3 linked regions of the Drosophila melanogaster genome follow. The protein of the gene in region 3 interacts with the protein of the main gene of each other region in a pairwise test. Each region holds a gene or a part of one and is shown on either strand. Other genes may lie near its edges.

Evidence for each region.
Region 1: the proteins of CG11030 (region 3) and AnxB9 interact in a two-hybrid assay, tested with the Drosophila melanogaster proteins (one large-scale study listed by BioGRID).
Region 2: the proteins of CG11030 (region 3) and CG12491 interact in a two-hybrid assay, tested with the Drosophila melanogaster proteins (one large-scale study listed by BioGRID).

The regions. Positions count from the first base shown.
Region 1 is NT_033777.3:21,060,752-21,074,010, reverse strand, and holds AnxB9 (annexin B9), read right to left. Parts: upstream 8,771-13,259; 5' UTR 8,610-8,770; intron 8,129-8,609; exon of another isoform or gene 8,060-8,128; intron 6,566-8,059; 5' UTR 6,542-6,565; coding exon 6,512-6,541; intron 5,943-6,511; coding exon 5,234-5,942; intron 5,174-5,233; coding exon 4,992-5,173; intron 4,699-4,991; coding exon of another isoform or gene 4,645-4,698; exon of another isoform or gene 4,257-4,644; intron 3,734-4,256; coding exon of another isoform or gene 3,680-3,733; exon of another isoform or gene 3,472-3,679; intron 3,455-3,471; exon of another isoform or gene 3,288-3,454; coding exon 3,234-3,287; 3' UTR 3,094-3,233; downstream 1-3,093. Other genes in the region: dmrt93B (doublesex-Mab related 93B), read right to left, coding at 1-4; r-l (rudimentary-like), read left to right, coding at 793-945, 1,006-1,522, 2,187-2,998; cortactin, read left to right, coding at 9,947-10,113, 10,182-10,585, 10,677-11,785.
Region 2 is NT_033778.4:23,746,690-23,755,203, reverse strand, and holds CG12491 (uncharacterized protein), read right to left. Parts: upstream 4,559-8,514; 5' UTR 4,520-4,558; coding exon 4,046-4,519; 3' UTR 3,979-4,045; downstream 1-3,978. Other genes in the region: CG5532 (uncharacterized protein), read right to left, coding at 1,977-2,239, 2,299-2,374; CG11300 (uncharacterized protein), read right to left, coding at 2,782-3,255; CG34105 (uncharacterized protein), read left to right, coding at 5,352-5,825; CG13560 (uncharacterized protein), read right to left, coding at 7,060-7,605.
Region 3 is NT_033779.5:5,720,438-5,730,776, reverse strand, and holds the start of CG11030 (uncharacterized protein), read right to left. Parts: upstream 6,122-10,339; 5' UTR 5,558-6,121; coding exon 5,549-5,557; intron 4,363-5,548; exon of another isoform or gene 3,315-4,362; coding exon of another isoform or gene 2,025-3,314; exon of another isoform or gene 1,966-2,024; intron 1-1,965. Other genes in the region: CG14006 (uncharacterized protein), read left to right, coding at 2,025-3,314; sip1 (septin interacting protein 1), read right to left, coding at 7,008-7,139, 7,203-9,481, 9,533-9,641.

The sequences.
Region 1 (13,259 bases), on a different chromosome or scaffold from region 3:
CCATCGCAACGCAGGCGAGAAATGGATTGAGAGAAAACCGATTTTTCGACTAAGAAGTTGCCGCTTTTGGAGCACAAATTTGCGACTTATTTGGAGACCAGCGAAAAGAAACTAAATTTTGGAAACACGCGCCAAAGGATCTGGAATTGTTTCAATGAATGGCGCAAACTTTGTTGACTTACGCAGGCGCTTTGGCTTTCATTTTGCAATATGAGCTTACAGGACTGTCATTGGTGGTTGCAAAATGACTAGACTCCTCCCCTTGAAGTTGCAGTCAAGGGTTTGTGGGCGGAGCCAAAGCTTTCAGATTACAAATGCTAAGTAGTGAACAATACAGCAATGCAGCGGACAAAATATTGTATATAATCCATCCATTCATTTCCTTGAAATTTCTTAAGACTTCTCAGAAACTAAAGGTTATATATTTTATGAATTTGGGAAATATTTCACATGCAAAATAGTTTATTTCAAAACCTTAACACTTATGCTACTTTGTTACCCTATAACTAATAATAAACGTTTATTAATTCGAAGCCAATGTTGATAAAATCTACGACATTTATAATAATTTGAACTTCGATAAGTTTGGCGGCATAGCGAAGTTAACCACCCAGGCGGCGCAACCAGAACTTGTACCTTAATTAGGGTGTTCGAAATGTGCCCCAATGTCACAGCAGATACGTGCACACTGGCAGCATGTTTAAAAAGCGTAGACTCCCAATTGGACGGTTCTTATTGGAGCCTAGCTAGCACGTGTGTGAAGAATTAAGATCGAGATTTAGAATTGCCAGCATGGTTGCCCAGAACTCCGACAAAATGCGGGCCCTGGCCCTGAAGCTCTTCGAGATCAATGCCTTCAAGTTCGGCGACTTCAAGATGAAAGTGGGCATAAATTCGCCGGTCTACTTCGACCTCCGAGTGATCGTCAGTTATCCGGATGTGATGGTCAGTATTTGGGATTAGTGCTCCATGTCAATGGCAGTAGCTAACTTGGTCTTCCCGCAGCAAACCGTATCCGACCTGCTGGTGGAACACATCAAGGACAAGCAGCTGAGCGCCAAACACGTGTGCGGTGTTCCCTACACGGCGCTCCCGCTGGCCACCATTGTGTCCGTGCAGCAGGGAACTCCCATGCTGGTGCGGCGCAAGGAGGCCAAGGCGTACGGCACCAAGAAGCTGGTCGAGGGCATCTTCAATGCTGGCGACACCTGTCTGATTGTCGAGGACGTGGTCACCTCCGGCTCCAGCATCCTGGACACGGTGCGGGATCTGCAAGGCGAGGGCATTGTGGTCACCGACGCCGTGGTCGTCGTAGACCGTGAGCAGGGCGGAGTGGCCAACATCGCCAAGCACGGCGTGCGGATGCACTCGCTCTTCACGCTCTCCTTTCTGCTGAACACACTTCACGAGGCCGGGCGCATCGAGAAGTCCACAGTGGAGGCGGTGGCCAAGTACATCGCCGCCGTGCAAATCAACAGCGATGGTACCTTCGTCGGCGGCGATAAGGGCGACGTTGTCAGAGGTGCGTATGCTCCAGATCCCCGTGATATCTGCCAGATAGATAGATGCATAGATAGATAATAAGTACATGACACTCGGCCAGCACATGGCCTCGAACAAATTCAATTAGGGAGCGCTCCAGTCGCGCTACTATAAAGTTATACAACCGCCATAAACGGCGGTAGGCCGATCTGGATTCCACTATCGGACCGGATCATTCCCGGGAATGCGGCACGTGATTCTGATTCAGGGCAGTGTCCGGTCCGCACTCAATTATGCCACCACGCTTATCAGCCCACTCGAGAGCCAGCCTGCTCCTTCAATCAAGCCCATCTTCTATAAATAATCACATTTCGTTTATGGCGCTTTGATGAGATGTATGGGAACCGGTTTGCTTTTTGTTTCCACCTGTAAAGTCACAGTATTCTAATCTCATCATAATCATCGTCTTTGCCTTTGGGGAGTAACTTTTGTATATACTCTTAAGATACTGTATAAACAATAGCCAAAATTGATTCCCAGTTGAAAAGAGTTATGTACTTTGGGATCGCCAAAGTGTGAAGCTATTGAAGAAAATTGGCATAGGTACAAAACAACCATATAGCGATAAGAAGAGGCGATAAGATAGGTCTACGTGCACGTTTCAAAATTGAAGTGTTAACTAATCACCATCACTTTCCCCGCAGCCAACGACTTGCAGCGCACTAAACTGACCTACGAGAATCGCGCCAATCTGGCTAAGAGCGCGGTGGCCAAGCGCCTCTTCAACCTGATAGCCAGCAAACAGACGAACCTCTGCTTGGCCGCCGACCTGACACACGCCGATGAGATCCTGGACGTGGCCGACAAGTGCGGTCCGTACATTTGCCTGCTGAAGACGCACGTAGACATTGTGGAGGATTTCAGTGATAAATTCATCGCTGACCTGCAAGCTCTGGCCCAGCGGCACAATTTCCTGCTGATGGAGGATCGCAAGTTTGCAGACATCGGCAACACGGTGTCCCTGCAGTACGGCAAGGGCATCTATAAGATTTCCAGTTGGGCAGATCTGGTCACGGCCCACACCTTACCTGGACGTAGTATTCTGCAGGGTCTGAAGGCGGGCCTTGGCGAAGGAGGAGCCGGCAAGGAACGCGGCGTCTTCCTGCTGGCGGAGATGTCTGCCAGCGGCAACCTGATCGACGCCAAGTACAAGGAGAACAGCAACAAGATCGCAACCGAGGGAGCCGATGTAGATTTCGTTGCCGGTGTGGTATGCCAATCCTCCGATGCCTTTGCCTTCCCCGGACTTCTGCAACTGACGCCCGGTGTGAAGATAGACGAGGGCGTGGACCAATTGGGCCAGCAGTACCAGAGTCCGGAGCATGTGGTCAAGGAGCGGGGTGCCGACATCGGAGTGGTGGGCAGGGGCATTCTGAAGGCCAGCAGCCCGAAGCAGGCGGCTCAGACGTACCGCGACCGCCTGTGGGCAGCCTACCAGGATCGAGTTGCCAAGTAGAAAACCCAAACAGCATTCCCCCTTAACGAATATTCCCCAATACCCATTCCCCCTTGGTTTCGGTTACCCTAGATAAGTGAAAAAATCTTCCAATTATTTACCGCGATTTTACAGTGCATTTATGAATTGAACATAGGCTATGAATCTTCCGCAAAACAGTTGGCAAACGATGCTTGCCTTAAAGTAAGAGTTACAACAAATAGAATGGTTAACAATCGATCCAACGAGGAAATCCTTAGTAGGAGGCCAGGCACTGCAAGACGTAGCTGTAGTCTCCGGAGAGGTCGTCCTGGAAAGGAGATCAGTGGATGGTGAATGTGACCCAGCTTTGCCGTTGAGTGTAAGCCAACTTTATTAGTTAATACAAGCACAAACTACGCATACGACTTTGATGCGCCATAATTTACAATAAAAAAAGACATGTATACAAAATAAAAATACGTAAAAATGTTAAATAATCGTTGAACGTTAGACGTTATTGCACAGAGGGAAAATACTAAGCGTTTTGTAGATTGGATTTTTAGAACACATCACAACTACTGTATATAGACCAACTCCATTTGTTCTTCGCTTTTGTTATACTTTTTTTTGGGGAAATGCAACGTTTTTTTGTTTTTGGCATTTTCTACTTGAACAGTGGGGTATTGCTCATAGATATTCGGATATTCCGGCTGCTTCCGTCTACCAAGCCGTAAGAGTGACCAGGACGTATCCAATATCGGTCTCGGCATCCTCCTGTTGTTGGTTCGTTTAAACGGGTAGAGAAAAGCGTGAAAAGAGCAGAGGGTCAGAGCATTAAACGCCTTTTACTTTGTATACATGGCTTATGGTTTGGTTAATTGCCGGAAGCTACTCCTCCAAGGGGTAATCAACTATATATCTACCTGATCAGCAAATGAATGTCTTTCAAATTTAACATAACATTTAAAGTTTTACATCTTGAAATTGTATGTACATTATATTTACATGTAATTGACATGTACTTTTAGCAAGCAGTGCAAGTATATTTAGATCTAAATTGAACTATATTTAACAGTTTGTATACCTTATACACTTGCTGATCTAGTTTATATAGACAATTAAAGAGGGCTAATATACTCATTTAGCCCCATTTAAATCGATTTTTAAGTTGGTTTAATCCACGCCCTTTTTAATGTTTAATGTTTTGATGTTAGGCGACCCAATGTAGCGCTGTTATTTACATGACAAGCAGTGCAGAGACCTCTGCTAAAGGTAACAGAAACTCGATTTGAATTTTGTATTTCATTTTTTCGTATTTTTTATTTTCGTATTTTTTAAAAGTTAAAATATCTTGCAAATGAGACTCAAAACAAAACTGAAAGTATACCTACACAGCAATGCAAGTAGCCTGAGGTGTAGTAATTATAGAGATACAATTATGTGCATGTGGCGTGCATAGTCATAATAATAAAAGTCACAATGGTTATAATAATCAACAGGATGCGAGACTGGGGTTCTGATTCTACGACTTAAATGCACTGCGTCTTCGTTAAAACGTGTTCCAATTCAAAAACTATACATTGTCAACTATTTGATATCGGAATTTTGTTTGTACATTCTGTTTGCATATAGTTTAGAGCGTGGAACAGACGAAAGAGATAAATTATTGTTGGATGGGGTTCTTTTTAGAAGCCAACAATAGCCAATAGGGCACGCTTATAATCGCCGGATGTATCGCCCTAAAAATATAGAATATGCCAAGTTTTAATGTTTTATGCACACAAATGAAGCAATCGGGCGGGAAGGGATAATGGCTTCAGAAATCGGCAAGAAAGTGTTGGGCAAAGGAGCAGTAACAACAACAGGAGAAGCCAGCTTGGATGAACGATTATTAAACTTTGATGGAGCCACAATTAATGGGATTTGTTGCAGGTGCAATCGAATGCGAGTTAGTGGCACATTGAACAGGGTGCAGAATCGAAAGTTCTGGCAAGCACACGCAGATATGAATGTAATTGAAATCGGTATTTACCTTGATCCAGGACTCCAAGCTCTTGCCGTACTTGTTCTGGAATGCCTCCTTGATGTCACCCAGATCGATCTCCGACCGGCTGACAATGATGCGGATCAGCGTCTTGTCCTTGGTGCCCATGCCGGCCATTGAGTCGTGCAGGCGCTCCGAAAAGTAGTCGATCTTGGACTTGCAGCACTTGACTGCAGAGCAATGCATCAGTTAGAAGGGACCCTAAAGAATAGGATGCTATAAGAACGTACCGATGGCCAGGAAACCCTTCTCCACGGAGCCGCTAAACTCCCGCTTGATGGCCTTCTCGATGTCGTTGCCCGACAGATTCTCGTATTCGAGGAAGATCTGGCGCAGCTGCTGGTAGGAGCGGGTGATCAGGATCGAGTTGAAGGTGGACTCATCTGTGCCCCACTGTCCCTCGCCGGCGTCGTGCAGAGCCTGGGCATCGGCGATGGCCGCGGCCTCGTCCACGCCCTGGTTCTCATCCCGGTTGCCCTGGACGAGCGAGACACACAGCCGCTTGAAGTGGCCACTGGTGTCGCCCTTCAGGTCGGACTCTAGGGACTTGCCGAAGCTCTGCTCGTAGAACTGGGCAATGGTCTTGATGCCGTAGTTGGACAGCGTGCAGAGGATCTCGATGATGGCCTCCTCGTCGGTTCCCAGTCCCGAGATGGCGTCGTGCAGCTCCTGGGCATAGAACTGGGGCAGCGGCGTCATCAGAGCCAGGATAACATCCTCGAATTTGCCGCCCAGTTCGGACTTGAGGTCCGAGATCAGGTCCTTGCCGTACGAGGTCTTGAACGCCTCAGCGATCTCCAAACGCTGGACGATGCCACGCCTGGCCAGGATCTCGATGATGGCCTTCTCGTCGGTGCCGAAGCCTTTCATCGCCTTGCGCAGAATAGCCGCATCCTCGACGGGATCGAAGGGATCCGCCGGGTAGACAGTGGGTGTGCACTGCAAATCGAATATAGGCAATCAGCAAATGAGTAACAACAAAGAAGAATTGGGTGTATTTTAATGCAGGGCACGTAATCCCAAAGAAATGACTCAACACTACTCAGTGGCACTTGTTCTAAATACAAATACATATGTGGTTATTCCCTACATGTATTATCTCAGTATTGCATGAATTCCTCTGCAATAAAGTTAGCTTTCTAAATTGACTTTTTTTTTCGTTGTGACTCTTATCTAAGGAACTCATAACTGAAACCCTCTTATCACTCTCTTCTCCCACCAATCGGTACTTGTTTGTCAACGATTGTCTAGTATACACCTCTGATGATAATTTAATAGCCCAATTATAGATAATTTCGTAGCATCTGGTCGTTGTAATAATTTATAGATTGCATCGAGAAAAATCTTGCTTACTTGACAACAACACACGTTTTAGAAAAAATAATATTAAGATATTCTCATCTATCTGTTGAATCTAATTTGATCTGATTTTTTACATTAACGGCGCTAATCGCATGAAATAATTGATTTATACCAGACTCATAAAGTACAATCCATTGTAAACTCACCTTGAATGGGTAGTACTCAGCGGAACTCATTTTGATTGGTTTGTTGTGAAAAATCTGTAAGTAGGAAGTGAGAAATCATAATGAATAATGGCTACGCCGAAATCGTGATGAAAACTGAACCCCCAGCAATGTTGGATACGTTATGTTTCCCAGACCCAATAAGCCCGGCCTTCGGTTAATTCCTGCCTGGTGACATCATCAACTCGTAAAAGCCTCACATTACGCATACGCCCCGTAGCCAGCCTGGCGCTGGTCTGAGAGCATTTTTACCCATTGATTTTTTTTCCTAGTTTATTTACCGAGATGTTTTTTTTTTTAGTTTTCCTTGCCGACCGGTGCCCAAATCGAAGTTCAACGTACTGCCGGGGAAAAGTGAAAGTTTCCACTTTTCAGTACGCAGTTTGCGGAGGAACGAACCTTGGAACCGGGTGCGTCTGATAGCCAAATGGCATGGCGCGGCAGTTTCGTGATAGGCCAGACCAAACCCACACGAAGTGGCCTCATAAACGGATGAGCTCATTGCGTTCTGGCTTGGAAAACATCGGGCACGGCTTGGTTGTGGCCAAGAGAAAGCTTCAGGGAAATGTCTGACTCGTCACCCGTTTGCGTTCTAGATCTACCACTCCACTTCAGTTGTCAAGTGGAACACTATCTCGAGGGACTAGTCCACATAATCCCTAAAATCAATAGGGCCAAATTACCTAATGATAAATGGATTGAGATTTTTGATAGCTTCCCCAAATTAGTAATCACAGTGCGACAGTGCTGAAAATACATGTTTGCCTTTCTATGCTGCCGCCAAAGTAGAAAGTCAACAAAAGGCAGCCGAAAAAAGCATTATAAAAGACTTGACGTGGCGACGCCATCCAAAAAAACAAAAAAGTTAACAAAAAGATACAACTACAAACGCCTCTGCAGTCGAGCTATAAACAAACAAAATGTTTTGGCCAACGTTGAAACCGGTTCTTTTACGTATGGCGTACAATTAAACTCAAGATTCTAGTGTTTATAGACTACTTTAGTTAATATATGATTTCTTTTTAAATAAATTATAATGCAAGTTGAGAATAATGTAATCAATAATAATTGGTTAGACTCTCTAAATATTGATTGGAGTTCTCCGTAATAGTTTGACCTCAATGTAGAAAACACATTTGTGTTTGAAAACACCCTTAATTACAATTCTTTTGTTTCATTATAAAAAGTGGTTGGGGTCTGGAAAAAACAAGATTGATAGATATGCTTTAGCATAGCGTATCTGGTAATGTTGTTCTTGAAATAGACTGATGATACATTGAAATTACAGCACTCAGTGATTCACCAGATTTGTGACGTCAATTTTAAGCTCTGAGCACGACTTTAAAAAAGAGATATTATAATATAGGTGTAAAAACTGGAATAGCTCGTGACCATGTGTGAAAAACTCCATAAACAAAAGCTTTTGCCAACTTCTTTTGGAGACCTCGATGGACTGTACCTCGAAATGTTTCAAAAATGTTTTGCAAATGCACTGAGCAATTCACTTAGTAATAAACCTTGATGACACACCTATTCTACTATAATTGCACGGCCTCGAGTACACTACTACTATATTTTGTGGACGGTGGAATGTGGCCACATCCGATTCCGGTGAGTAATGCTGAGCAAGGCACAGGCGCTCATACACAGTGCTTACTGTAGTTTGAAGTGCCTGTCGGGCAATTGAAGTTGATTGAATTACTAAATTAAGCAGGGCACTGGGGGATAGAGATATTTCGAAAAATTCCGCTTCTCATTCCTACGTAAAATGGGAAAGCAAGAAAGGAACAGAAAAGTTTACTTAGATTTCGTCGGAGATGAGAAAAGTCACACGCGTCGCGAGAGAAAACGCCAAAAGAGTGGGGCTTTTGCTTTTGAGTTTGATGATGTCATCTTTCGGTTTTGAATTTTTCTCCCACCCGAGGCTTTTATTATTGAAATATAAAGTAAATAGAGAAACAAGATTCTGGAGAATTCTCGCGATACCGCACCCACAACTAGAATTCTACAAAATGCCCATTTTGGAATGGCACAAATGAAAATTATCTTTGAGTGTTTAGCACACACTTTCTTTTCTCACTTTTCCGACTGATTTTCCGCTTGATTTTTTGCGATTTCTGGCACAGCGAGAGTAAACAATGAGTTTTATCTACAAATTCCTTTTGATTTACCAATGATATTCGATTTTCAACGTACAAGTCAGACGATGCGAACTGCAAGCGATGTGAATAAATACCATAGCTGTTTGCGCTCCGTCTTTGGCTTTTATACTCGCGCTCTCTCGCTGGAAGTCGATTAGAGATGAACCAACCGGCGATAGGTTGTTGTTGCTAGGAAATATTCGGTGGTAGCGCCTAACTGGAAGCTGGTATCTTCTGCGTCGTCATAGTATACACCGTAGAATCTAAAGTGTTCCGAGATGGATGAATCATCGGCATTGGAAGCTGTTGAGACATTCATGATATTTCCGTTGTGATAATGACGACATTGGGAAAATAAGATCTGATTACGCATTGAATTTCAAAATGTAACCTTTGACTTCAATATTCAGCCGTTAGGGCAATACAGTTAAATAAATATCCTGTTCCTTCCTAAGCCGTTTTATAACTATTTTTATTTGTATTTTTATAACTATATATAAAAACCAATTACGTTAATTGTCAGCCGACATCGAAGCAAATTCAAATCCAAAACTATCGATATATCGATGATATGTTTGCGGTTATATGAAAAAAGTCAACTCTTATACCTGTTAATTACCGTTCTGGCAGAATCTTATTAATTATACAAATTACTATGGCGCCACTTGGTATAACATCAAATACCTTTTGCCCGAGCACTCAGTTCTATTGATCACGATCACATATATTGGTACTGCAGTATATATCGGTGCATTGACTTATCGAATAAAGTAAAAGAACCACGACTGTATCTCTTAATCATTTAAATTGGGCGCCCCTAAAACTGCAGCAACTACCTTTTGTCAAGCTCATCACAATAATTTATCGGCTTTTCGTAGCATATCGATGCATCCATTGTATCGAATGAAATTTAGTTCAGTTAGTTTCCCGTTTGTTGGTCTCTTTATGAATCAATTGTTTAACCCTTCTCCTCCCAGAAATTTGCAGACATCCCTAGCGGCATCAGATCATAAGTTCCTCTTGCAGTAGGAGTTAGTCATCGGGATGTGAGTATACATATGAACATAGAGCGCCAGTGGCATCTTGTTCCCGATCCGGCTTTGTCGGCCCCTCCCTTCTTCGGTGTTTTGTGACTTGTTATCTGGGCCACGAATCGGAAGCGGAGCCCCTGCAACTGAAAACCTGCCCCGACTACTCACACTCGTCATGGTGTTTATCTATCTACCCAGCAGATAAGGATAAGCGAGTAACCAGCGACCAGAAACCGGTAAAAAGAATGTGGAAGGCAAGTGCCGGTCACCAGATTCAGGCCACCAGTGCAGCCTCCGCGGAGGACGACGACTGGGAGACGGATCCGGACTTCGTGAACGATGTCAGTGAGCAGGAGCAGCGCTGGGGATCAAAGACGATCGACGGCAGCGGTCGCACAGCAGGCACCATCGAGTGAGTCATCCGAAATTCTCGAAACACTGGGTATCGGGTTCATTGTTCCCTTTCTTTATTCTTTTTAGCATGGACAAGCTGCGCGAGGAGACGGAGCAGGCCGATCTGGACAAGAAGAAGCAGCTGCTGAAGGATCAGAACGCAGGATACGGATACGGGGGCAAGTTTGGCGTTGAGAAGGACCGCATGGACAAGTCGGCTGTGGGTCATGACTACCAGGGCAAGGTGGGAAAGCACGCCTCGCAGAAGGACTACAGCGATGGTTTTGGGGGAAAGTTCGGAGTGCAAGAGGATCGCAAGGACAAGTCTGCCGTGGGCTGGGACCACGTCGAAAAGGTCGAGAAGCACGCCTCCCAGAAGGATTACGCCACCGGCTTCGGAGGCAAATTTGGAGTGCAGTCCGATCGGGTGGATAAATCCGCCGTGGGCTGGGATCACATCGAGAAGGTGGAGAAGCACGAGTCTCAGAAGGGTAAGTTACCTAACGGAAATGAATTTCTCATTGATTTTTTCTTAGTATGTTCATGTCTGATTATTTTATTTATATCTTCTCCCAACATAAGATTACTCCAAGGGCTTTGGCGGCAAGTTTGGCGTTCAGGAGGACCGAAAGGACAAGTCCGCGGTGGGATGGGACCACAAAGAGGCTCCGCAGAAGCACGCCAGCCAGGTGGACCACAAGGTCAAGCCAGTCATCGAAGGTGCCAAGCCTTCCAATTTGCGTGCCAAGTTCGAGAATCTGGCTAAAAACTCCGAGGAGGAGTCACGTAAGCGGGCCGAGGAACAGAAACGTCTCCGTGAGGCCAAGGACAAGCGGGATCGGGAGGAAGCCGCCAAGAAGACTGTGGCCGAGAACACTCCTCGTACCTCGACGGAAGCACCGCCTCCAAAGGGCAGCAGGGCGGCCATCCAGACAGGTCGGACCGGTGGCATTGGCAATGCTATCAGTGCATTTAACCAGATGCAGTCGCCTGTTTCTGAAACCCCTCCAGCACGAAAGGAACCCATTATCATTCCCAAGGCGCAGCCTGTTAAAATAGAATTAGAAGCAAAGGAGGAGCCAACGGCAAGTACAACATCAGCTGCGGTTGCTCCTACTCCGACAGTGGTCCCCGCTCGAGAGCCGGAAACAGCTCCAGTGGCCAAGGCTGCAGCTCCACCACCAGATGTGGTGCCCCAAATTGAGGTTGAGACCGTGGACACGCCTCCCAGAAGTGAGCCGCAATCACCAGTGTATGTGCCGACGCCTCAACCCGAAGTCCACGCCCAAGTCCAAGTCCAACCTGAGCCGCAACCTCAAGCCGATCCTGAGCCAGTAGTTGAAGAAGAGCCACTGTACCAGAACCAGGCCGAGATTAAGGCTGCCTCGCCCTTGCCACCAACGAATGGAACCGTTTCAGAGGCTGTTGCTCCGAGTGGCACCGCAACCGTTCCCGAGGAGGCAATCTACGCGAACTCAGACAATTTGGCCGACTATCTGGAGGACACCGGAATCCACGCCATTGCCCTGTACGACTACCAGGCGGCGGATGACGACGAGATATCCTTTGATCCAGATGACGTGATCACCCACATCGAGAAGATCGACGATGGGTGGTGGAGGGGATTGTGCAAGAACCGCTACGGACTCTTTCCAGCCAACTACGTGCAGGTGGTGGGACAGAACTCATAAAAGCTTCCAATTGAAATTCACGATAGAACAAAATCAAATTGTATTTACATACTAACGAAAACGATAATACTGATGTTGGATTATAAACCATATAAACCAATTCGCAACTAACCCAGCCCATTTCCCATCCATTGTTTACCCTCTTAACCCTCCAAATTATGTGCAACGAATGGCTAGATATTGAATTATTATTGTAATTTGTTATGCTAGCACTTAAAGTAACCGTGGTATTCCATTTTTGATATATGTATCATTTATTGCATTTTACATTCTTTGTATTTAACACATTTATTTTACCAAGAAAATATGCCAAGCTATTTTAGATATCTCTCATTTCATATTTTATGCATTAGTTATGATATTTGTGTCAAGTAACGATTTTGGTTTTTTTGAATTGTATAAAGTCTACGAGAGTTTCCCGTGTCAGGTGATCTGATCTAATGTTAAAGACGGATCTAATGTTGAAGACAGTCACAAACAAAAAGTCTGCTCTTTTGATAAAGAAATACATAATTAATAAAGTTAAATAATAACGAGTTCTCTCTTAAATTGTGGTACTGATAGTTCGGGTGTTTTTGTTTTTTTTTAAGGCCTAACAAATCATTTTACTAAGTAAAATGATTTCATTGGATACGGGAATTCACAAATTTCTATAAGAAGATAAGAACGAGCATATTGTTGGGTTCCTTCTAATATCACGAGGATATCTCTATTTTGGGGTAGAACTGTCAAGGCCTTTCTTGGATGGGCCGAATTCTTATCTGCCTGTTCCGAACGCATCGTAATCTGGCAAAGTAGAAATTGTTACATGAAACGAGCTACTGACATGATTCATGGTGCAAATGTGAGTGCATATGGGCTCAACAAAGAAAGAGTACTTTGCATTGTGGTGATTAATTAGTTAAAAAACATACATAAGTAGGATGTACGGCCATATTGTAAATTTGAGCGCCAATCCCAAAAAGACTTGATAAGATTTATCGCAATTATTGGCGACGGATCGTAATCGAAAAAAGTGTCAGACGAAATCAAAGTTTTGACTGATAAAGTTGATGTATAAATTAAACTTCAAGGAGGTATTACGATAAAGTGTGCGTGTTGGTAATAACGTAGATATTATTAACTAGTGATTGTAACTCAAAGGGTATGCAACTTAACTATGTATCCCGCATAACATTTCTAACGGTAACCTGCGGTCGATGTACAAACCGGTATTTCAAATGCATGTTCAAATCTTAGGCGGTATTTCTGGGGCCTTCAAAAATCCAAATCTCAGGCCTTATCAAAAAATCTCCCCTCAAAAAAAAGCAGTGGTCTTTCTCCCACGCACACACTCTCTCTCTCTCTCTTTCTGTCTTTCTTTTTCTCACTTGCCGACGCGAGAGAGAGATATTTTGAATAAATAGGGGCTACCGCAAAATGCTATAGTCAGTCACTCGATCGCGTGGGCTCAGAGTTAAAACTTCAGTTTGGC
Region 2 (8,514 bases), on a different chromosome or scaffold from region 3:
GTAGCACGGAGTCGCCTTGGAGCGTTCCGAAAAGTAGTTCTTGAATCTTATCTTATTTTGGCATGACCCTAAGCGTAACTTAGACTCTCATTTCAGACCACCCGATTCGAAACGAAATCATTGTCTCCGAAAGGCGGGCACAGCTCGGTTAGGACATTCGCATTCACACATCCTACGCAGATCTCATAAAGCATGCTTGCAGAAATCTCTCATACCACCTATCTATCAATATCTGGCGACTTCGAGTTCGACGATCGCTGATTCTTGCCTTATTTGCGCGGTTTAGTTCTCGGCCTATTTTTTTTTTTTCCAAAATTGCATCGAACACTCGCCCCACACATTAAAAAACTATAAAATCGAACTAGAAACCAAATTGGCATTGAAACATGCACACACATACCAGCATACAAACACACACGCTCCTTCTCTCACACCACCACACACGCATACACACTGTTTGAAGGCAAAACCGATCGAAACTACATCAGAACATCTTTAACTGTAGCAATTAAGTATTCTATTTGATCAACAAGAGTGGCATGGAATCAAGAACGCATTCTGCATACTAAAACTAAGACAGCAAAATGGCAAGAGTGAAACAGAGTAATTTGGCAAGTGGAAACGCATGGAATGGAACACACGCACATACCACACAACCACAACCACCCACACAATTCAAAATGGCCGGCGTCTGCAAAAAATATATATTTATCTAATGCATACGAAATAAAACTTCCCAAATTAGCTCATTGTTTTTGCACGCCCCACGAGAATTGTATGCTACCACAATCACTAATTTCCTGCGTTTTTCTCTCTTTCTTCCTCGCTTCCGTTTCGTTACCGCATTCCGCATCCGGCATCCGCAGTGGTTAACTGGAAGCTGTTTCCGTTCTAGTGAAAGTGTGAAAATGCAGCCGCATTGGGGGAACGTTTGGAACTGGCACGCAGACGTCACTGCCATCGAAATTGGAAGAAGTGTTTGCAGCTTAAAGTGTTTTTAGCTAGAATTTATTACTATTATACTCTGTACGAAACCCTATTGATTTGTTGTTAGTTCTAGCCGCAGCTAATTCTAATTTAAATGATTGCCTGTTTGCTGAGGGCAACGCAGCAGCCAGCAATGTTGTTATGTTCAGTACACGCATATATTATGTAATCTAATTTAATGCAAAATGCAAACAATTTTGTAAAATAGTACATATAATTCTGTAAAAACTTCATCTACACATGCACGCACTTTCGGCAGACAACCTAAATTATTTCTTGAGCCACAAATCAATCGAAAGGAAATTTAATAATAATCCCACTTTCCAATGTGATAAACATATATAATTTGTACACTCTACTTAACAAATATTTATCGTTTCCTGTTGGGAAAATGCTAGAAAGGTGGAGAATCGATAATATACTTACCTTGCCGCACTTTGCCTGCAGAAAACTCAAATTATTCACTTCATTATTGTAATAAACTTGTTAGAAGCCTAAATTCTAAAAAAAAAAAAAAATCCATCACTCTACGTTTACCTAGCCTAATGCTCTTTTCATGCAGCAACAAAATGTAATAGCTAAGTTTTAGTTGTAGTTAACTGAACATCGTATAATAGATGAAACTGTAAATTTATCACACACACAAAAGAAACAAAAGCTAAGTTAAACAATAAATATACAAAAAAAGATTTGAATGTACGAAATGGTGTATTTCTGTGCTTCTATGCGAACTGTCATACCAAAGTGCCTGAAAGTATGCTATTAAATGTGACCAAGTATTACAATTGAGTACAAAGAAGTCCACAAGTTAAAAGCATAGGTGATAAAATATATTTGCAGCAAGTACAGTTCCTAATCACTATCTTAGAAAGTGACACAGCGCATTACCAAAGTTCCAATCACCGAAAAGTAGAAAACCTATTCAATACGAATGAAGAATGAAGGTAGGGCAATCTCCTGGCAAGTCCAGCATGTGGCCGGAAATTAGCCTAAGGGGCCTTTGTGCCGGCGGGCATTAGGTAGCGATTATAGGTGGCCAGGTTCTTGACCAAGGCGGCCACGGATAGCATGCACACCATTCCGGCGGGCATCAGTTTTCCGGATCGGTTCCAGCGGGCGCCCATCAGCCCGGCCAGGAACAGGGAGGTGCCCAACTGGAGCAGGGGACGAGGCGTGTCCTGGGAGTTGAGGTGGGCGCCATAGCCGAGCAGGGCTCCGAAGGCCAGACCAGCACCCAGCGAGGGAATGGAACCTGGAATGCAGGGCGTTGCACAATCGGACATGACCACGGTCAGGGGGCTGGTCACTTACCCGCCTTGGCGTATCCCATGATTCCTCCGGCGGCGACCGTGGCTGCGTACACATATCCGAACCAATCCACCGGCATTTCGATTTATTTTGATTAAATTTCGGGGTAACCTTTGTTTTGGTGAGAAGTGGAGGTGTTAGTATGACCCTTCCTGCCTTAGTAGAAAGAAGATCCGCTCCGCAGTGCACGAAATTCAGACATCTGGCAGCACCGTTTCGCGGTCATTTTGAATTAAATATGTGCAACGAACTTCCTAATCAGAATATTTATTTCAATGTTTAGAACGCTTCTATTCGAAATATTCATTGCAATGTTTAGAAAGTTTGTTGGGCAAATATAAGTTAGTTTACTAATGTATGCATTACAAAAAGAGCGATGGTTCCTCTAATTTAAAAAGCCATTCAATACATTTATGTTTTTTTTAGATTTATTGCATTTCTGTCTGGAATTTTATTTCAAATTCGTAGCCAACATGTTCGTGAATTTTACAATAGACGACGGTGACGGTGTACACGGCGAACCACTCGCCCCTGACCACCACCTCCATTCTGATTACTCTGGTTGGCCTGACGCCTCTCGCGGCGGAGCTGACGCCTCAGCCGGCGCAGCCGACGCCTGAGCCTAATCACTTCCTGGCTGCTGCTGGATCCACTGTCACTGGGCGATGTGGGCGTAGCTGGTGATGTCGAGGAAGCGGGCGCATCAGGAGTAGCTGGCGAGGACGGTGTTCCAGTCGCTGGAGTTGGCGAGGTCGGTGTACCAGCAGCTGGGGATGCTGAAGGTGGTGTTCCAGTCGCTGGGGATGGTGAGGGCGGTGTTCCAGTCGCTGGAGGTGGCGAGGTTGGGGTTCCAGCCGGTGGAGATGACGCGGGTGGGGATCCTGCCGCAGGTGGAGAATCGGCGTAGGCAGTTGCTATTAGGGCCAAAAGCCCAAAGGCGATAACGAATTGGCAACGCATCTTCAGCTCAGTTTGTCACTAAATGGAGTACTGTGTGGATAGTGGTTTAAATCCGAGTATTTATAGGGATGATCCACTTGATTCGCTTTAATTGTCGAATCTGTGTTTGCTTTGAATGTTTTAGAGTACATTTTACGTTCTCGTCAAGACAAATAGATTAAACTCAATAAAAAGACGAGACTATCTTCTCTGTAAGCGCGAAAGCTGTTGATGGCTGTGGAAAGTTCTAATTCGTTAGTAATTAAACAAAACGGTTTTTTTTTGGATTGGCTGGCTGAACGTATTGTTAGCATGTGTGCAAACACGGTACATTGTTTATTAAATAGATGAATATGTATTGTTAAGCCTTTTGAACAGAAAGCCATATTTAAATAACCTCTAAGCTTAAATAAAGATTAAGATGGCATATTGTACATAAAGAATGAATTCTCACTAAAAGAAAACTTAGAACAAACTCCTATTTTTCACTTTCATTTGCAAGTTCCTAATCGATTAAGTTATCATCTGGAATTATGTCTGCACTTAGACCAGTTCCACTTGATCAACTAACTAGATCGGAAAATGATTTACTTAGGATTCTTCATTAGAGTATATAGTGTAGCCTTCTTCTTCTTTTCCAAGATGAAACCGAATATTGAATTTCTTTGTTTGACTAACAATTCGATCCAAATGATTTCACTTGTTTTTAAGGTGCCAAGTTACCAAGTCATAACTACGATTGTTGCTTTTGTGTATGCATTTATTTTTCAATTTGGACCATTTCATTGTTCGATCGGGTTAAGCCGATGGTTTATCCCCTACGTTGGCGCCTTCTTCCAGCACGACTCTGCTGGCGCCTTTCCTGCTGCCTCTCCCGGCGAATCTCCTGGCGCCTCTCCTGACGCCTCAGCCGCCGGAGCCTGCGAAGCCTGCGCCTCAGCCTGTCCACCTCCTCGCTGTCGGAGCTCGTGGAGGAGGAGGACGTGTCGCTGGACGTGGAGGGGGCCGTGGTTGTGGCAGTCGTCGATGAGGTGGAGGAAGTGGGCGAAGTGGAAGAAGAGCTGCTAGGAGTGGAGGACGAAGTAGACGTAGTGCTATTGCTGGACGGAGTTGAGGTGGAGGACGAAGAGCTGGGTGTCGAACTTGAGCTGGAAGTCGATGGAGTCGATGAATTGGAAGTGGGTGATGTGGAAGAGGACGAGTCGCTCGAGGATGAGTCGGTGCCACCATAAACGGTCGCCACGAGGACAACCAAACCAAAGGCCAGGACGAATTCGGGTCTCATCTTAAGCTCTGTCTGTTGAACACTGTACTCAAGTACTATACAGCATCCAGATCTGTGTCTGCTATTTATACGATCTATCTGGAGGGGTTTGGTCCAAAATCTCAATCTGTGCGTCGTCTTAGTTTGATCTTAACATGTGGCATTTGCGGCAGTGTTTTGTTGAACAAGGTGTGGAAAGTTCCTATGTTTGTCGAATCTACAACAGCAATGGAGCTTCTATTTGCGCAGTGTTATTTTTAGTGGATGTGCCAATACGGCTCAAGAAGAAAGTGCTTAACTTAGAGGATGTTTAATATAAGAACATTTAATATTAAGCAAATATTAAGTGCTCTATCACATTTATTGATGATTAAATCTTTCTTTGAATAATAATATGCTGCTTAAAAGAGAACACGAAGTGACTCTGCTTGCATTGTAGTATTCATTTTAGGAAAGCCAACTTGAAGGATTCTGGGTAGAATGGCCACTTTACCCTTCCTTATCTTACGAACTGATTGTTCCTATTGTATTTAGTTATTTTATTCAGAATAGTCCAATTACCTATTTTTGCTTAGTCACTTCTTAGTCAAAAACTATATTTGTCTAGTGCCTGTGCCGTAGATTGTTTCAGAAAATCAACAACTGCTTCAATGTTTAACTTCCCAACAATAACCTTTCCAGCTTTCCAGACGTTTTCAGCAAAACACTGGGCCACGTGCCAGATGCTAAGATGTAAACCACCCACGGATTGAGATTTTGGACCAAACCCCTCCAGATAGATCGTATAAATAGCAGACACAGATCTGGATGCTGTATAGTACTTGAGTACAGTGTTCAACAGACAGAGCTTAAGATGAGACCCGAATTCGTCCTGGCCTTTGGTTTGGTTGTCCTCGTGGCGACCGTTTATGGTGGCACCGACTCATCCTCGAGCGACTCGTCCTCTTCCACATCACCCACTTCCAATTCATCGACTCCATCGACTTCCAGCTCAAGTTCGACACCCAGCTCTTCGTCCTCCACCTCAACTCCGTCCAGCAATAGCACTACGTCTACTTCGTCCTCCACTCCTAGCAGCTCTTCTTCCACTTCGCCCACTTCCTCCACCTCATCGACGACTGCCACAACCACGGCCCCCTCCACGTCCAGCGACACGTCCTCCTCCTCCACGAGCTCCGACAGCGAGGAGGTGGACAGGCTGAGGCGCAGGCTTCGCAGGCTCCGGCGGCTGAGGCGTCAGGAGAGGCGCCAGGAGATTCGCCGGGAGAGGCAGCAGGAAAGGCGCCAGCAGAGTCGTGCTGGAAGAAGGCGCCAACGTAGGGGATAAACCATCGGCTTAACCCGATCGAACAATGAAATGGTCCAAATTGAAAAATAAATGCATACACAAAAGCAACAATCGTAGTTATGACTTGGTAACTTGGCACCTTAAAAACAAGTGAAATCATTTGGATCGAATTGTTAGTCAAACAAAGAAATTCAATATTCGGTTTCATCTTGGAAAAGAAGAAGAAGGCTACACTATATACTCTAATGAAGAATCCTAAGTAAATCATTTTCCGATCTAGTTAGTTGATCAAGTGGAACTGGTCTAAGTGCAGACATAATTCCAGATGATAACTTAATCGATTAGGAACTTGCAAATGAAAGTGAAAAATAGGAGTTTGTTCTAAGTTTTCTTTTAGTGAGAATTCATTCTTTATGTACAATATGCCATCTTAATCTATATTTAAGCTTAGAGGTTATTTAAATATGGCTTTCTGTTCAAAAGGCTTAACAATACATATTCATCTATTTAATAAACAATGTACTGTGTTTGCACACATGCTAACAATACGTTCAGCCAGCCAATCCAAAAAAAACCGTTTTGCTTAGTTGCTAACTAATTGGAGATTTGTCATTTGTCCCTGGCTTTCTAGCCAGAGCATCACCTTCAGGTACGTCAACCCAACCGGCTGATCCACGCCCACTTCGCCTAGAGGCAGTGAATCCAGCAGAAGCCGTGAGATGACCAGGTAGCGTTGGGTCCAAGGACTTTGAGGCTCTCACGGACTTTCCTATTTAGCAGCTTATGGACTGACGATCTGTTGATATATTTTGTATGATTCTAATAGTACTGTGATCCGATAAAATATCTTTCAGATTGTAACGAAAGCTATCTTGTGCTCGTTTCGAATTTTTTTGGACTGAATCGTAAACACTTCGTGGAATTAATTATCTTTAGTTCTAAAGCCTCGTGAGTTTATTTCGAAACAAGGTCTCATATATGTTCTGCATACTTTCCGGGCGTTCTGTACTTTAGGAAATTCGTTACTACGATAGTATGAAGCCGAGTCACTAGTTCAGATAGAACCAAATGGAGTGAGAAAGCTATGCGAGCTAAGAAAGCTTGCTGGTACATGCTGTGATTCTGTGGAGGACTGAAAACATTTCTCTTATGGTGTCTTAAGGTATGCAACACAAAATTGCATTCACATTTATATCTAGGGTTTATATTGGTTTTTCATGTAACAATTTTATTTGCATTGAGTTACAATGTCATGTGAGTTGGGATTCCCATTTCAGCCCCGACGGCGCTGCTGGCGCTGGCGCTCCCTCCTCTCACGGCGTCTCTCCTGGCGTCTCTGACGACGTCGGTAGCGACGACGCCTCTCCTTGCGGTTCCGCTTGGATGACGAAGAGCTACTGCTGGAGCCGGAGGATGAGGAGTCGCTCGGGGAGGTGGACGTGGTGGGCGATGTGGAGGGCGAGGTTGTGGAAGGAGACGGATTAGTCGAGGATGAGCCAGTTGAGGTGCTGGGGCTGCCAGAGGTGGTTGATCCCGTACTTCCGGTGCTGCCAGTGGCCGTACTTCCGGTGCTGCCTGTACCCGTGCTTCCGGTGCTGCCAGTGCCCGTGCTACCGGTGCCCGTGCTCCCGGTGCTGCCAGTGCCCGTGCTACCGGTGCCCGTGCTCCCGGTGCTACCGGTGCCCGTGCTCCCGGTGCCCGTGCTCCCGGTCCCCGTAGTATCGGTGCCCGTGCTGCCGGTGCCTGTGGTATCGCCACCAGCATAAGCGGTCGCCAAGATGGCAATAAGACCAAAGGCCAGGACGAATTGGAATCGCATCTTTAGCTCCGTCCGTTGAACACTGTACTCAAGTACTGTACTTTCTCTGCATTTAATTAGGGTATTTATACGCATCACCCACGATTTTTTTGGTTCATTTTCAGACTGTGTGTTTGCTCCGAATCATCATCATTTGCCGCACGTGGCTTAGTAGGATATTCTTGAGACAATTTGGCCGATGACTATCGAAAATACATTTGTTTGAACAAGTCAACAATGGGGGAATTGTGGATTTGTTAGATCTAGTTTATTCTAAGCAAGTGTGCAAACACAGGCAGCTCGGGTATTGTTTTGAGTTCTACTGAATAGCTATTCAGCCATTCTAGCAGTGCTTTAGCACTCGGCCTTATTTAAATAACCGCAAAACAGATGCGTGTTTGGTTCATAGAGATTTTGAAGGATGTATAAAAATAATATAAGATAGCAATGCCTTGAACGCAGTGGAGTTCGAGTTTTACTAAGGTTCAAGAGATAGGCTTATGGCGGGATTTTGACTCTTTAATGGAAGAGGTTCGTGTGATTAAAGCTGAATTAATAATTACTGAACTACCATAAACAGTTCTAAGGAATCTATACAATCTTTCAAAATGATTTCGAAATCCAATTTCGAATCGAAGCGAAACGAAACGGTCACACTGCTTAACAGTCGCGCCGCGAGACGTTGCCACCCGGCTAATAAAATACCAACGTTGCCGCTCAGTGGTATTCCCGCCTCGGCCGTGCACTGGCCACACCAGCCACCGCCTTCGCTTCGCCGCCCGCCATCCAAATTCGATTCGTTGGTGTTTTTCGCTGCGCTGGTGTTCGTGTGTTCGCGTTGGCGCTGTCATCATCATATCGTATCGCATCGCTCCGCTCCGAAAACCGTGGCAATTGTCTGTTTTTTTACCTGCCAGCGAGTGCGTTTCA
Region 3 (10,339 bases):
TTCAGCGAATGGAGCAAAATTAATTTCAATTAATATTTATAAATTAATAGTATATTATTTTGCTTCAATTTGTAATTTGATGCTATATCATTTTTTTTAGATTTTTTAAAGCTCTATCCCAAACTATTTTAGAGATCAAAGCTGCTAAGTTACAAAACTTTTGAATACGAATGATATGATATGACCTAATTAACGATTCTAATGATATAAAAGAGATCCTTAAACATTGTGCTTTATACATTTCATACAGTTTTTATGCGTGAATACCCTGCAATTATACACACTGAAAACTCTGGGGAGTAATTCAGTTCGAGTGCTATTTTTGTTTTGACTGATTGCATAGTTTCCTGGCTCACTGTGCACAAAAGCAGCGCTCGAGAAGCGTCAGCCAATGCAGCGACCGGGAAAACAACAACGGCGGCGGCTGAAATACATGCGTGGGGCAGAGGCGCGAGTGCTGGAGGCGGGTGCGTCGGCTTTTCGGGGGGTGGTGGGCAATTTTTTGGGGGAGGTGGGAATGGGAGGGTGGCAGGGTGTTGCGAATGGATACGTGGACGGCGAAGCTGGTGAAAATGGCGGCAGCGACAGCGACGCAGCCTATTTCGGTGGCCAGAAATATAAAAAAGGGGCGTGAACGGGGGATGGGGGTCGTGGCAGCTGAGGGACAAAGTGCAATTCACCAGAGAGCGAGAGAGAGAGAGAGAGCAAATGGGTGGAAGTGGGCGGGCGGCCGGTGGAAGTATGGCACACACCGAAATGCAGTCGGAAAACGAGGACCTGCACACAACTGCACTGGGGACTATGTACGATCCGGATGTCGTGTATGTATTGCCATTGACCAGGACATTCCCCCTCTCGCTCTCCGAGCCCATCTCTTTCTGGCCTGCTCGCTTGTTTACCAATTTATTTTGCGCACAATACGAAACACGGAAAATGCATGAGGCCACCGGCTGTCTCCCAGCCCCATTCCCGCCCACACGACCACCGCCCATCGCCCAATGCCCACCATCAGGCCAAAAAAGCCCGATGCGTTGCAAACGAACGCAATGATAGCCACACAGCAGAGCAGGCCAAAGGCAGCAACAACAAGGAGCGGGGCGAAAAAATTTGCAGAAATTCCAGTTCGATTTTTGGCCATAATGCAAAAAAGCATGCCGCCCTGCTCCCTCCTCCGCCGACCAAGATGTACATACATATATGTATCTGCCATCTCGGTTGCTCCTGCATTCAGTGTTTGTTGTTAGTTTCCGGTTGCCACTTTGTGCGGGGATTTCTGCCTTTCCCCAGTTTCCTTTCCCGGCTTTTCCTTGCTTTTTTTCGACTTTCCTCGTTTTTTTTTATTTGTGTCCAGCTTTCTGTTTGCTTTTATATCCTTTGCAGGCCGCGACTTCCACTTTGATGGAACGAGCGCTGTGTTTTATTTTGTTCCTCCTTCATTGTTGCCCCTGACTTTTGGCAAAAAAAAAGAGGCGGAGGAGAAGGGGGTTTGGCGTGTAGTACCACGCTCGTAGTGAGTTTTTGTGCCCCATGTCCTTCGTAGTAGTTAGTACGCGTGGTCCAAAGTCAGTCATCAGCCCATACGCATTTCGCTGGTCCACGTAGAAAAAGTCGCTATTGAAATGCAAAGAAATGGAACGAACGACGTAGAAAGGAATGGCAACGAAAAATTGAAGGAAAATGGGGCACAAAGGATTCGAACGTCCTGGAAAAAAAATCTGAATGGGAGAAGGCAGCTTAGAATGCCAGAGAGACACATTTTTCGTCGGCAAATATTCCCTATTTTCGCCAACTTGATACTATGAAGCTTCTGCAGCTTGAGAAATAGTTGCAAAACCTAAACTTAGCCGATAGATATGAATATATCTAGAGCTAAGCGATATACTATATATGCTAGTCTAAGATAAATGTATGTTTCCTAGATGTATTTCCATCGAAGCAGCCCTGCTCATAAAATCTGGAAATTTTCTTTGAAACTCGTACCCCATATAGATCCCAAACATATTTAATATAAACACTAACATCCAATGTGGGCTCCTCTGCTCGCTTTCGTTATCCTTGGGCTAAACTATGCAGCATCCTCGTTCGTGAACTGGGATAATGTATTTTACGAGCAGCAGGCGACGTATCTGCGTCCTGGTGAGCCCCACATCCAGGAAGGACAGACGCTGCTTAACATGCTGTACGTGAACAACCAGGTCCAGGTCTACTGCCAGCCGCCAACAGCGTTCTCCATGTGGAATGTCTTCCAGAGCAACCGCCTGCGCCTGCAGATAGCCGCTGGCGAAGATTACACTCAGTATAAAGGAGCCACCGTGCGGGAAGTTCATCATGCGCATAGCCAGCTGGATGAGTGCCACGAAGGAAAGCCCTTGGGGCATTCCGCAGCAGACGAGCCACGGATCGTTCCGATGGCCACGTATGAGCACTCCTGTTACGGCATCTACACATCCAAACCGTTCGTCCTCACGCTTGAAGTGATCAGTTTCGACCTTGAGCGGGTAAGCCAGTTCACCTTTGGCATCGTTTTATGGTTAAGCTGTCCGCTCCTGGCGGATTCGCTGCTTTTCTTCTACTGCTCAGCTGCGGCCCTGGGCGCCCACCTGGCGGGTTTGTTGGCGGTCGCAGCCACCCTAATGGCATCTGATGGCGAGCGGTACCTGCGACTCGGAACGCTCAAGGTGAACTTCAAGCTGGTGCTAAACGAGCGGCCCACCGTGATAACCTTGGCGCTGGTCAGTGGCGCCTGGTTGCTGAAGTCCGCCTCCCAGCGCTGCAGCTTTTTGTGGCGGTGCACTCTGTTTCGCCGCCTGCATCACCGCTTGCTGAAGGGCACCTCCTACTTGCTGATTCTCACTGCATCCGATCACAGGGGCTTTGGGATGACCTGCCTTATGCTGTTGATGCCCTGGCCGGAACTTTTGACTGTAATACGCTGGCTCAAAACCCTATACGCTTGCTACAAAAGGGGCTCCGTTAAACCAATGGTCCAGGTGGAAATCGAGAATCAGGACGTCCCTTATCAAGACTCATATCTTCGGATCGTGCGATCCGAATACGATAATCGTTCATCCGAAAGCAGTGGTTTTAGCAGGAGTTTTAGCCAAAACAAACATAACATGGGCTTTTATCGCGAGCAGGAGGATCAGGATAATGCCTTAATCTATGAATCTAGACGACCTACCGAGCGGAACTGCTTCAACAGATGTCACCAGTGTACCCCGACTAGATCACCCCGTCCAGAACCCCATTTGACCTCCTTATATCGCAATCTTCACTATTCAAACGCGAAAAGCAGCTCCACATTTATGAGATAAAATAACCGACAACCTACACGAAATCGGGCCAGGACTCGATCCACTTCAATCGAATAGATTGCGAAAATTTTCCATTTGCCACGATAAGTTGCCTTATGAAAGAGGTTGTCGATGGGTGGGGAAATCTATAGGCAAACTCATAAACCCAAACCCATAGATGGCAATCATTAATCACCAAAGGACTGAGATAACAGATTCGATATGTTTTTATGCTTTATAAACAATTAAATCCATGTGTATATAAATATTCTTTAATCGTTTAATCACCCAATATAGGAATCAAGAATAATAGTGGTGAATAACGGCTGAACTCAAGTTAAAACCTCCTAAGCAGACGTCCATGGAGCTGCATCCGTGCCGCTTTTAACTTAATTGTCCTGATTAGCATGCGTCCGTGCCTGTTATCCTCGTTGAAATTTTTGTGCTTTTGACATTCGTTGGCGCATGGAGTTACAAAATAAGAGACTGGCCTCCATGCGCTGTGAGGCGAAGGGGTGTTCGGGTGTTGGGGTGTGGGGGGCACAAATGTGCCTATTACCTCCCATCCTGCCCAGCAGTTTACCAATAGGCACAGGAGCGGAGGAGCAGGCTGCTGATACTGATGCTGATGCAGCTGCAGCACTGGAACAACAACAAAGTTCGGTCAAACGTCAGAAATGTTCGTTCGCTTTGGCTATTGAACGCAGTCCAAAGCGCAATGAATCCACCCACTGCCCACTGTTCACTAGCCCACCACGCAGTGCCCACCCCATGCAGGGACCAAGGACCTACTCCTCGGCCCGGGCATCGGCAAATGCAAATGCAAATGGGTAAAAAGCGCTTTGACGACCATGTGGATGGAGGCGGTTGGGCTGTTGCTGGACGCAGTGATGAGTGGGCGGTGGGGTATGGTGGACAGTTGGCCGGGGCAGGCGCAAAACGCATTTCAAATCGAAAAGTGGTACTTCACTCATTTGGCGCGGGGAAACGGCGGCAGGTGACTAACCAGAGGATTCGTTTCTCCACATCGGAATGAATACAGGGTATCACGAAGAAGAGCAGGCATGGCAAATACTATACTTTGATAACCTTTCAATGGTTTATGTTTTATTATTTTATTATTATGGATAATATCTAAAACCTAGTTTAATGATATTCGATAAACAGTATTCATGAAATATAGTTCAAGATAACAGTTTAAAATACACTTCTTTTGACTTGTGCATGTTTAACTGAAATAGAAGGGTATCAGCTAGTGGCAATCCCAATGGTTCCATCACATTGGATGTTTCTCTTTTCAGTTGGTATGCTTGGCTGTAGGAAAAATTGACTAAATGCGCCGTTTTGTGTGCATTACGTTCGAAGGCGACCTGTACGGGCGGACCCCGTCTGTCGATATCGAAGCACGACCAACCATTTCTAATTGCCATATTTCCCATAACTCTCCAAGCTTGCCAGTTTTCTATATCAGCTGTATAATTTTCGAAACTTTCCGGTTTTGGTGGTTGATTTGGACTAGGAAGAGTGCAGCCAGGGGTGAAGTGGGGGTTGTGTTGGGTTTTTGGGTGGGTTGAGACTGACTTGGGTTGGGTGGTGAGGCGCGAATCGACTCGGGATGGTCGCTAAAAAGTGCATTTTGAGCTGTGGTGTCCCGTTTCGGGATTATGGGGGTTGTGCGTGATGGCGTCAAAAGGTCAGTGGCAGGGTGGAATATCATTGAATTGGAAACTAGAAATGAATTTTTTTTCGAAACCAACATAGATTTACGTAGATTGATGGCAAATAAATAATACTAGCACATGGATTTAGTGTTCAAGATATTAAAGTGTATAAAATTAATTTCGTGTAAAACTTAAAATTATACCAAACTGGCAATCGAGGATAATGCGCTTAAGATGCTGATATACCACAAAATCTGACGTTAAATAATCGTTTCGATTATCATAAGCAGTATTTTTAGGGTTTAAAGAAAGGATATACATTTTTGATGGATAGTATTCCATTTTATAAAAAGCGGTTTTGATTATTATTTAGTATAAATAAAGACCGTACTGTAAAAAACTGTAGCTGAATCTAGTGTATTTAGAATAATACAACAAATTATAACTAGCAAATAACTAGCAAACTTAACACCTGTATCTTAGTAGTGATAGATGGATATAATATTTTCATTATGTTATGTTCAGGAATATTATTGAACAACCATTTAAGCTTCTTTGATATAGTCGTGCTTTAAAATTAAATATATTACACACCTGCACCATTTTGATGTCCTTTTGCGGGTGTCCCGTTAGTGAGTCCTCCTAATCCAACGGATATTTCCGTGCCGGTTGTTCGGCGAGCGGTAAATTTAGCAGTGGGAGCTGTTAGAGCGAGACGCCAGCAAAACAAACGAAACCAGCTACAACAACTGAACTTAAGACGCGAGAGAGTGGCGCACGTGGTGGAATCACTTTTGTTTTAGTTGCGCTTTTATTGCACCGCCTGTCGAATTCATTGAATTTGGGGGGGAATACGCACGCACACACGCACTCACGACTGCATTGGCGAATAGTGTGGGCGAAGTGCAACGAAAGAGCGGGAGAAGCGAAACGAAAGACACGCGGTTTCAATTTGCTAACAGTGCCTATCGCGATAGGAGTGCTTGTGTCTTGGTTTTACAATTAATTGTATTGCACTACGCGAGCTTCAGTTGACTGCACCGTTTCGAACCGCATCTGGCTCACTACTTGCTTGCTTTGCGTGCGCCAAACGAACCGAACGCGAACTCAGTCAGTTTATTCCTATTTCCACGACGCGTTCTAGAGTCAGCTGCGATGGCCAGAGGTGGCAGCGGGCCGATGACAAGCCGATACTATCGATGTATTTATCTATCTATCCATCATCGTTGCCCGGCTGCGGATATCGATTAGTTGCATGGGCCGCTCCGGTTTTTCAAACATTATTTCCATATTTTTGTAAAAAAAGTTAAATGAGAAGAAAATAATAATAATAATAATAATAATGTATAATAAATGTGCGTCAAATTAGCGACGATAGCGGAACGGTGGAAATTGGAACTCGGGGACTTTTTTTTTGCGAATTGTGTCCCGCTGATCTAAACTACCGTGTCCCTATAGGCTAATAGGCTAAGCCTAATTATATAATGATCCTGAAAAATGCTTTAAAAATTATCCACCGATTTCCAGAAATCCGCCTCACAGCGAAGGAGTTTAAATTTATTTAATAATGCCGCCTTCTCTAGCACCACAGCCAATCCATGTCATAAACCACATTATTAACAATCAAATTTCGACTTTAAAGATTTATTAATCGGTTCAACCAAAGACACTAAAGATACTTCTAGTGTACTTCTACTTCAACGCGCACGTTACAAACCCATGCTCCCACAAAATAAATATATACCGAAAAATACTGCCAGTATATTTACATCTTAAATTCATGGAGCATGCAGCTCGGACCCAAACCGTGGTGAAAAACTTGGATGTAATCATATCAATTTCAAAAATATTCAAATCCGTTTCAATTTTATACAGAATAATATATCTGATTACTTTTACATATATATTTAGACATTTGCTTATATCTGCAGAGCCATCTCATCATACAATCACCTTATATTACAAACTTATTAGGGAACAGCAAGAGCTAAGCTTCTGATCCAATCCAATTAAACATTTTCCAAGCCAATTAAACATTTTCGCAGCTATTTATTTAAAGAATTCCCGTTTGAGAGCGTTCTAGCAGATGATTTAGCGACACCGGCTTCCAGTTGCTGAAGCTGCCATCGCTGACCATGCAGACGTGACGATCGATGTAGCAAAACAGCTTTCCCACACGATAAATCTGTAAATGCAATAAATCTATTAGTATATAACGCTCTGTGGTCGAAAATGGATTAACAGTCACCTGTTTGCCCATCTCCCGTCGCCCTGGCAGAGGAGCGAAGATGATTCCCAAGTCGGCGCATTGCTGCGATACCAACTCTTTGAACTCCAGCTGAGCGGGCGGATGAATCAGGTCCATCATTATGACTGGAGCCGGAGGAACTGGAGGCGGGGGCGTGGGCGTCACCGTGGGCTGCAGCAGGGTATCGCTGGCTCTGTGCATAATTTCCAGTGCTCGCCGCAGATGCTCTTTAACGCTGGGCTCGCGCAGAAGCGGTTCGCTCAACATGCTCTTCCAGCCGGTGTACCATCGCGAGATCTCCGCGTAGTCCGGCGACTGATTCAGCCAGACGACGAGCACTTGCATCCAGCGCGGGAAGAAGTGTCTGTCCAGTAGTTGGGCCATGTACATGGGATCGATGAGCTCGTGCCACTCCCATACCTGCTGCCACAGCTCCAGGTCCTGGTGCATTGGATTGATGATGAGCTCGCCTAGAGTCGCCTGCAGTTTGGGCACTATGTACCGCTGCAGGAACTCTTGCATCTCTTCCTCGGGGAAGGCCTTCTGCCAGGGCGTAAGCATGGCTCTGGCTGATCGGTCATGCGGTGACCAGGCGCGCAATGCTATACCCAATTTGCTGCGGATCTGAGGATAGACGGCCTCCTCCAGCTTGCTGCCCAAGATGGCATGCCACGGCAGCACCCAACTGTCGATCGGAACGGTGTCGGTGAGCGGATCCCACTCCTGGACACCAGCCACCAGTCGTGGCAGAACCAGTTGCTCGAGAACCGAATCCAAGACCCAGCTAGGTAGCAGGGGTGCCCAGGCATCTAGGAGTGAAGCCATTGGCGGATGCTCCTTCGGCTGCCATGCGGCAGCGCTGGACCGAAACGAAGGCATCACGCCGGCCCAGATGAGCGAGGAGTACGGATCGAAGACGTTGCGGGGCTGCTGCTCTGCTGCATCTCCTTGCTGGAGCATGCCGCGCCATTTCTTGATGAGTGGCAGCGGTTCCGTTGGGTTTTCCAGTGGCTGCCACTGAACTAGTTCTCGCTTCAGGAGCGGCGCTATTACACCGGCTGCCAGATCTGCAAGTCCGAACTCATGGAATTCGGCAGCGTAGTCCACGAGCAGCTCCCGAAAGAGTCGTTCAGCCTGAGGTAAACTCAAGTCTGGATTATCGATTAACCGCTCCACGCGCTCCAACGATTCCTCCAGCGTGCGTATGTGGTTTCGTTCTAGCTGGACTATCTCCTCCAGTTTCCGGTGCTCGCTTTCCAGCGCTGCCTGCTGGCTGGAACACTCGCGTTCCTGGTTGTCGATGGCGATGATCTGCTGCTCGCACTGGCTAACCAAGAGCTGGAGGTTGTGCGTCAGCTCGGGCATGGCAAAAACGCAGGCGGGAGCGGATCCCTTTTCCGTCGCCTCCGTGTCGTAGAGCGTCTCCTCTGGCGTAATTTTTGCCTGTCCCAAGGCATGATAGCCACTCAGCACTCGTTTCTCTGGGCCTGTCATATCGATCACCCGCACATTGCCCAGTTTCTTGCTTAGCTTCTCCGACAGTAGGTGGCCGGACGTGTGACCCTTGGCAATCACCTCCTCCACGGACTTGTAGTAGTAGCGCTTACCCTGCCGCTCCATTGGTTCGGCGCCACCGGCTGAGCCCTTTCGCCACTTGTTCAGCTGGTCTTTGAACTCTTTCGCCTCGCGCACGTCCTCATCCACTTTGATGCTCTTGTTCGTCTTTCCTCCGATGCTTGCCGCAGTTTCGGGTCCATAGGCGCCGATAGCACCTCTGCCCTTGCGGACATGGGCTTGCACAGGATGCGAAATGCCCTGCAGATCTTTGCCCAAACCCTTGCCAGGCTCATAGCCCATTTGAAGGAGTAGCTTAGCTCCAATGCCGCGTGTATGCTGCTCCCAGGCGCCCACGTTGCGCTCGCTGGCGATGTGGGAGCGATGCTGAAATGTGGTGCTTGGCTGTTTCCGGCTCAGCGTTGGCCTCTCCTCTTCTGATGAGCTGTTGGAGCTGCCCGGATCGTTCTGGCCGAAGGCTGGCCGTCCGCTGGCGGCGGAATCGTCGCTCTCCTCGCCCTGGTCAGCCTCTGCTCCCTCTTTTTGCGATCCTTTCTCATCATCGGCTTGGAGCGCCTTCTTCTTCTTTTTGCCCGCCTGCTGAATGCCGCCGGCCACAAAATTGACGGGCATGGTGTAGTCTTTGGGTTTACGGGCGGCGCGCCCCCTTCTCTTAGTTCCGCCCTCGCCACCACTCTCCTCCTCGCTGTCATCCGCCCAAATACCTACAGAAAGTTCGTTTACAAACAAATTCCGGCATGTATTTCAATACATACCGTAGATCTGTTGGTGCCTGCTCTGGCGGCCTCGGGGCCGATTGATGTTGAACTCATTGTCCAGATCGTAGTCCGTTATCTCGAAACGCTCGTAATCGTTGTCCGACATCCTGGCTAGACGTGTATATATTACTTACAGCAGAAACTGAAACTTTTGTGAATGTAAACAAACGCACCATTGACAATAGGGATGGCCCTAAATTAGCAATTTTATCGATAAGAAAATCGATACAAAAGTACTAAATACTAACTTTAGTACACTATTAGTATCGCTTATCGGCGCCAAAATAAATTTAAATTTTTTGACAATTGAAAACCACAACTAATTGACTCAATTACCGAACTATTATTAGTTTAGTAAGTTCATTCCTAACAGAATGAGCTCCCTTTTAATTAGCATAAGTACGCAGTATGAAATACTTGAGAATCCGATTTCAAAAGAAAACTATTTTTAGAAAATTTTTTTAAAGGTATTTGATTATAGTGATAAGATATTAAAATCGATAAAGTAAGAAATACATGTTTATGCCGCCTAATCGTCTGTTGACCATATATGTATTTGGCTAACACTCGATTAGCGCTATCAATTGGTTACGTCTACTGAATTGTTATGATAAGGATAGGAAAATACGACAATATTGATAACTAGACGGATAAGAAAATCACTTGAACTATGATAGCTTCGCGGGAACTTCAGTAATTTTAGTCTGTTTCCATTATTCATCGCCGAATGTTGTCTGTCTCGTTCGTGAAATAACTTTTAATCTTAACAGAAAAAAATCCCTCAAACAATTTGCGTCGTTTCGT